2 linked regions of the Drosophila melanogaster genome follow. The protein of the gene in region 1 interacts with the protein of each later gene in a pairwise test. Each region holds a gene or a part of one and is shown in the gene's direction. Other genes may lie near its edges.

Region 1 (3,755 bases):
GCACGTAAACAAAAGCATAAGCATTTCACAAATCAATCACTGTAAAGCTGCGGTACTTGTAAAACACTTGAGTAGTCAAAAGCTGGCATAAGTATATCAAATTTCCAGTAATTGATGATACAAATAAATATTATTAACATATTTTATAAAAAATGATTCTTTGAATAGATTAGCAACACTATTACGGACTATATAATTTAAATTACATTTGTAGAAATAGAAATTGTATGGTCATAGTTTTGATAACATTCAAAACGATGCCGCCCCCTGAAAAATAGTTGTCATCCTCAATTCAATGATGCACCATAGACCCATAGCCCCATACCCCGCCCATGGTCTTAACCCACATGTTGCCCCTGAGTCGCATGGCCTTAACCCTAACCTAGCGCAACTTTTGTCGACTGAATTCGTTTAACTCGTGTGCGGGGGAAAAAACGCCAAAACTAAACTCAGCGTGTGTGCACGAAAGAGAGGGGCGAGCGCTAAGAGGGAGTATGAGAGGGAGAGAAAAACACATGGTTCCAGGCCACGCGAATCTGCGATATAAAATGCATCCTTAGAAATTACAGAAGAAAACAATTGCAGATAAAAAAAACAGCAACAACAACAAAATGGGTGGACGAGGAAAGAGCGAAAGGCGCAAGAAAAGGAGAAACAACAATTATTGAATGAGTTGGCTACTGCTCCTTCTTCTCATTATTATTCTCCTTCATCAGCTTCTGCAGCCGCTTTGTTTTTGTTTTATGCATGTGTGTGTGGGTAAATGTGAGTGTGTCAAAATTTAGCAACAAAGAAATTTATATTAAGTCATGCTATTGACGGCAACAACAAAAAAGCCAGCTAACTTAAACTTACCATTTTGATTCTCCTGCTTACTGCTAACGGTGGTTGTTCTTGATGTTCGTCCCTCCGATGGTTCTTGTTGTTGTTGTTAACCACAAAAAAAAAATCAACAGACCGCGCACCCACGCGTTTTTCGTTCTTTTCTTGGTTTTTTTTTGTGTTTTGTTTAAAATTTATATATTAATTTCTTTTTAACAATGCGTTTTTGATGCTGTCAACGGAACAGAACAATTGTGCGGCAAGTTAGATAGCAAATGCAGCAAATATAAAAGGCTGGACTCCGCAATTTTCAGCGCGTTAGAAATGTTTTTGTTGTTGTTGTTCTTCCTGTTGTTATTGGTGTTGCGATAATGACTGCATGCGTGTGTGCATGCGTGTGTGTTGTTGTTGTTGAGTGTGTTTTTCTTTTGTTGCTGCACGCGGTATTTCGCTTCGGATAAATTTGTTCGTATGCGTTGTACCGCGCAATACACGCAAAACGAGGAATCGGAATAAAGGAGGAAGGAAACGAGAACGAGACGAGAATGAAGCGACGAAGCCGAAAACACACGTAACATGCCAACTATCGCAACTAACGAGATGCCAACTAGATAGAGCTGGAAAAACATCGATGAGAATCGATAATGGTGAAGCGAGAAAACGTCAGTTTGACGATTATTGATAAGAATGCCGATGTATACTAAAACTTATATTTGGGCACACTTATTTATAGCGTGTTTGCTCTAAAAATATTAATAGCTTAATATTACTTATAATATATATATATGGAAAATATTTTAAAAATATAGATATTTAAATGAAAACATTTTAAATTGCACAAAGGGAGACATAATAAACTTACTTGGTATTTAAACAAATCTATCGGTCTGGCACGCGGTGCACACAAGACTATCGATAAATGGCGCGCGTCTTATTTCTTTATATTTCATGATATATATCCGTTAAATTCTAATCACGTTACAACAAAGTATATGCAAGTTTAACATGGTAAATGAGAAGCGAGCTTCAGCTGTTGCATTTAAATAAATGATGCCAACTGCAATGTACATTAATGCATTTAAATATGTTTTGCCAACTTTAATGTTCAGCTAATTTGTTTATGAAACTGAAAGTAATTAGAAGACTTTCAATCTAAAAAAAGTATAGAAAAAATATATATTGACATTCAAGATATTTAAGATACTTGTGGGGTATTAATTTGCAAAATTTCTGCAAACTTCGACGCTATCGATAAGCATCGATTATTCTTTTTCTTCCACCTCTAGCACCACATGCGTGTTGTTGCTTGGGCATCAAAATTTGTCGGTAAGTCTGGTTTTCCCGCTTTCAATTTCGCAATCCGCCGACACAAGTCCCTAAAAGTCCGCCGATTTCAGACGGTCCGCGTTGCTGATTGTTATTGAGAAGATAAGGAACGAGAAGAACCGGTACTACGCCAGGAGACAGGACTCAGGATCAAAGGCTTCCACGGACACGAAAAGGAATCCACATAGCTAACGAAATGCCTAACGACACTGTGGTAAAGGTGCAGGAGTACAAGGACTCGTTGATCCTCAAGGCAGAGCTGCTAATCACCAAGGGGTTCCCGGAGAATATCGTCCGGCTGAACGAGCTGCTGGCCACGCCGATCTTCAACGAGCGCAACTTCGAAGAAGTGCACCAGGACCTCAACATCCCGGTCCTGCCGCCTCTCCTGGTTAAAAACGAGTTGGAGGATCGTGACAGTCTGCCCACCAAGCGCCAGCGCGTGGATGTCATCGTCTCTGGGCAGCCTGTCATGGGTCTGCCCGCCGGTACAGTGCCGTGCAACAAGCCGCTCTGCGAGATGATCAAGGTCGTCAAGCCTATCATCAGGAAGCTTGTGGAGGATTGTAAGTACACCGTATATTCAAGCGTCTCAACCTAATAAATGTTTTTATGCTATTCAAGAGCCCCTTCAATTTTCCTAAAACAATGAATTCCAAGAATTTTTACATTCGAACGGTACAAATGCCAGTAGCTAAAGTTTTGCCTGACATTAAGCTTTTTAATGAATACCTAGTAATTTCTGAATTGATTTCTTTTGCAGCCAATCTACTTAAGATGTGGATCTCCTTTATGATACCCAAGATCGAGGATGGCAACAACTTTGGCGTCTCCATTCAAGAGGACACGCTTGCCGAAATTCAAACTGTGGAATCCGAGGCGGCCGCCTTCTTTGACCAGATATCGCGCTATTTCTTGTCGCGCGCCAAGGTGGTGTCCAAGGTGGCCAAGTATCCGCACATCGATGATTATCGGCGCGCAGTCGTCGAACTTGACGAGAAGGAGTACCTCAGCTTGTGGCTGGTCGTTTGTGAGGTCCGCAATCGCTACTCCTCGCTGCACGACATTGTTATTAAGAACCTCGAGAAGCTAAAGAAGCCGCGCTCCTCAAATACCGAAAGCCTGTATTAGGCTAGGTATTTCCGAAGCCCGAGCCTCAACTTTTTTTTTTCCTTTCCATCATCTTACTTTTCAATCAATAATCAGCCCGTAGAGCGGACGGTCAGCAATTCTTGTCGCTACTCAAAAAGCTAAGATTTTCCAATTCGGTTTACAAACATCAAAATTCTTTAATTGAAGAGCAGTGATTGAACAATAGCTGTAGCCTAACTACCATCAACTATTAATCCATTTGTACTACGTCTAGAATGTAATGTTGAGATTGGCGTACAATACAAGAAACCGATGCTGTATAGATTCCACTAATAGCTATAGCTATGCATAAAAAGAATAGGCGAGCTCCATTGACACATTTTTTCAACATTTCCTAATGTAAATTTATAACACGGGCGCCCCTCATACGGAAAATGTCCTTAAAAATGTGTGAAATATAAATCTTTATAAGTAATTCGCTCCGAATAGGTAACACTGTGCTTGTTTTCTTGTTT
Region 2 (3,755 bases), on another chromosome or scaffold:
TGCATTTTCCTTCTGACCGCCGTCGTCTGCTGGCTTTTCTGGCTGTGCTGCTATTTGGCGCAACTGAATCCACTGCTGGGGCCGAAACTCAATGGAAACACCATTCGGATCATTGCCTCGTCCTGGGGAAATCCCATCAAGGAGGGATAAGGAAAGCCCACATAGGAATCTCCCACCTAGCTAATCTTTGGCGGTTGCTTCTTCCGCGTATTTCCGGATCTTAAGCCACATCACACACAGTCGGTGAAACCACGGAAGCAGTGGCTTCGCCAAACCCTTTTTGTACTTCAATACTGGCAGCAAGTGGACAAGGTTGGGCTACGGCTATCCAAGCCCCAGATACGCCCCACTATTTCCAAACTAACCACATTAACCTCTGGACGTAAACTTTCACTGTACATTTTGTTGTTGCTTATAGCTCAATATCTCTGATCACCATATTCTTTATGTTTACTGCAAAACATAAGCCATGTATTCCACCCAAAAATCCAATTATTGCAATTTAATTCTCAACAAACTTGCCACATGAGCGATTTTTGTAGTCAGATTATTATTTACCTATTTTTCCGTAGTGTAGATAATTTACTAATCAGTCATTGTATTTGTGATTTAGCTATTGGCAAATATAGAACAATTTTTTCGTATTATTTTCCTATTCGTGTTTATTTATTATTAGTTTTTAGTATTTACATTGAAAACCAAAAATGTCTAGCAATGTATATTTATAAGTTTACGCCCCATTTAGCTTTTCCCGAAATCTATAGTTCATATATTAGCTTAAATATTATGTTTCTCTTAATTTATATTTGTTTTTCAGAATTCTTTTTTCCCATTATATAGTTTAGTTTGTTTAGTATGAAAATGTTTCATTTCGGAAGTGCAATTTATGTTATTTTTAGAACAATGCATCCGAATAGGGTTATTGTATTTTCGCCTTAATGTGGAAGGGGGCGTGCCCGGTGGTTGACCATAACTGGAGCAAAAACACAAAGTCCCCGCACATGGCGCACTCGGTGCACTTGCACTCTTGGCCATGTGGAGGCCGACTTAATCAATGGAAACGCTGGCAGGGAATGGGAATGGCCCGAGCGGAGCCAACTTGGCGGTTGTGGGCAGGGAAACGAGAGAGCGGGGTATTCGAGGAGCAGCAGGGGAGCGGGGTGTCCTGCTCTTTTCAGCAATATGTGAATGCGGAACTATTGATTTTGCAATAAAAGTGCGCGCGCAGAGCCGAGATTTATGCCAAAAGCGGAGAGTAGCGAATTCCACGAGACCCGCCACGATGTGTGCCATGTTGTCGGCGGTCAGTGAGGAGAAGCCGGAGAGCTGGAGCACTACTAGAGAGCTGTGAAATCCGGAGACCCAGAGCCGAGCCGAATGCAGTCGCCAGTGCGGAGCAGAAAGCCTTGGGTCACGAGCCACCAGCTGCCAGTAACTCGAAGGGAAAAAATAATTACCACAGAACAGCACTGCTCGAGAATTAAGAAATAATTGTACATAAATTATAAATCCCAATAATAGCCAGATAATTGTAAAAAGAAGCGGAATTCCTGGAACTGTGTGAATTCTATCTCCAAATCGACAGGAAAATCAACTGGCACGTGATGCAACCAACGCGTATGGATGGGCCCAGTGATTAAAGTGAATTTCTGTGGGGTCAGCTAGCCAAAAATCGATAGGTTTGTGGCCTATCCAAGGAACGTGTCCTCCAGCTGGAAACGTGCGCAGCCTGCAGAGTAACCAGTTTTCCCTTTTTTTGTGGACCCATTGAAAAGTCGGTGGAAAATCTCAACCTACGCAGGGTTATATAACCGCACAACATACAAAACCGCCCACGCAGCTTTGCAGCTAAATCGATAGACTAAAAACCGACATGACGAGCTTCTAATTGGATTGGATTGCACGCGAGGGATTAACCAGCACAGGGATTAACCAGAGGAGGCACCAGTGACCACCACCCACTTGCTACTTGGAATTACAGGGTAGTCGCGCGTTAAAAAATGGGCAAGAAAAAGGTGCCCGTTGAGGACCTGGTGGTTCCACCGCAGGACACGCGAATATGCGGCACCATATGCATCTGCCAGATGACCCTGGTGCTCAGCTCGGTGGCTCTCGTCTACCTCACGGTGGCCATATATATGCCCTCAACCAGGGCCTTCAAAAGTGGCATCGATCCCACGCCGGTGATGTGCACCACCACGCGGGCGGTGAACAAGGACAACTGCGAGTGGGGCAGTTGTGGCGAGTGGTGTCTGAGCAAGACTTCCGGAGCCTGCATCCAGATCTATGTGAATCTGCGCAGCAATGGCAGCAATCTCATATTCCAGAACTGCACCAACTCGGCCAATAAAACGTGCTACGGGATCGACCAGGATCGCGCGGACAAGGCCAGGTGCATCAATGATGAGTGCAAGAATCTCACGGGCACCTTCAATTGCACCGCTGGCCAGTGTCTGAACATCACGGATGCCTTCGAGTGCATCTTCCACAACAGTGATGCACCAGTCAAGTGTTCCGGCAGGCGGGGAAAGATCAACTGCATGGACATCAGCGGGCTGTACTCCTGCAGTCGAGGAACGTGCCGGAAGATCCGTACTCCCTATAACTGTGACCGAAGGTGCGTGGACATCCCAACACGGAACAAGAACGTGGTGGTCCTCAGCGGGGACAAGGTCTACCTGTCGCAGTGCCAGAATGCCATCAATGCCGAAACTCTGGAGGAGGTGTGGAACGAGTCAAGCGAAAATGTAGCAATGACATCGTGTTACTTCATCAGGCACACCTCGGACCAGGTGGATGCGGTGGACTGCATCAATGGCTCCACGCTGGAGACCAATATGCTCAGCGATCTGACCAACTTCACATATCTGAGCCACCTGCACGTGTCGGTGGCCACTCCAGTGCCGGAAATAGCACCACCCGATGTGGACCTCACCATTTCCAACGAGTCCAAGCTGATGATCAATCTGGAGGGGTGTGTGAACACTCTGATGGACGAGTGCAAGGAGTTCCTCAAGGACTTCGGACGCGATGGCAGCGACCACAATGCCCGGGCCCGCTTCCCGTGCTTCTATTCGCCCGGAAAGAAGGACGTGGTGGTGGCCCGATTCGACCTGGAGGTCACCTATCGCCAGTTTGTGTTCGCCTCGGTAGTGCCATCGGTTCTGTTCGTGGTCTCGTGTTCCATCCTGATCATGTGCCAGACCACCGTCTACGTGGGCGACGATGCCAAGATGCGCTTCAAAGGATGTGTGGACACGGAGACGGTCCTGAATAAGAACAACGTGGGCGCACCCACCAACGGCGACATGGGCGGGGGCGGCGGCGATGAGGTTATGGCCCTATGAGATCCGTCACGTAAGCTCTATATTTCGCTACTCTAATATCTGGACATCGTGTCTCTATAATGAATTCTCTCTGATGACTTGCAGTCTTCGCGGTAGCCCACATGTGAGAGGTCTACCAGGTGTTCTAGGTCTCTATTTTCAATATTCCTTGTTTCGAATTCCAAAGAAAGTAGAAAAGTCTAGATTTATTCCACCTTATAAGATATCATTAGATACTAGAACCGAAGGGATATTAGTCAGGTGTTATACTCCCACGACATGTTCTTAAAAATTGCAACAAAAATAATGACTATACCCATCCTAACTCCTTTTTAGAAGAGCAATTAGTATAGTTATATTCAAAGAATCCATATTATTGAAATTCTGAAACTTAGGTAGTTCCCTAATTTGCCCTTATTATCTTTAATT

What was found. The genes of interacting proteins can lie anywhere in the genome.
Region 2: the proteins of REG (region 1) and Teh3 interact in a two-hybrid assay, tested with the Drosophila melanogaster proteins (one large-scale study listed by BioGRID).

What each region holds. Positions count from the first base shown.
Region 1 is NC_004354.4:13,210,245-13,213,999, forward strand, and holds the start of REG (proteasome regulator gamma), read left to right. Parts: upstream 1-2,080; 5' UTR 2,081-2,148; intron 2,149-2,205; 5' UTR 2,206-2,344; coding exon 2,345-2,714; intron 2,715-2,911; coding exon 2,912-3,279; 3' UTR 3,280-3,755. Other genes in the region: sno (strawberry notch), read right to left, coding at 856-858.
Region 2 is NT_037436.4:4,182,909-4,186,663, reverse strand, and holds the start of Teh3 (tipE homolog 3), read left to right. Parts: upstream 1-2,000; coding exon 2,001-3,347; 3' UTR 3,348-3,357; intron 3,358-3,755. Other genes in the region: VhaM9.7-c (vacuolar H[+] ATPase M9.7 subunit c), read left to right, coding at 1-150.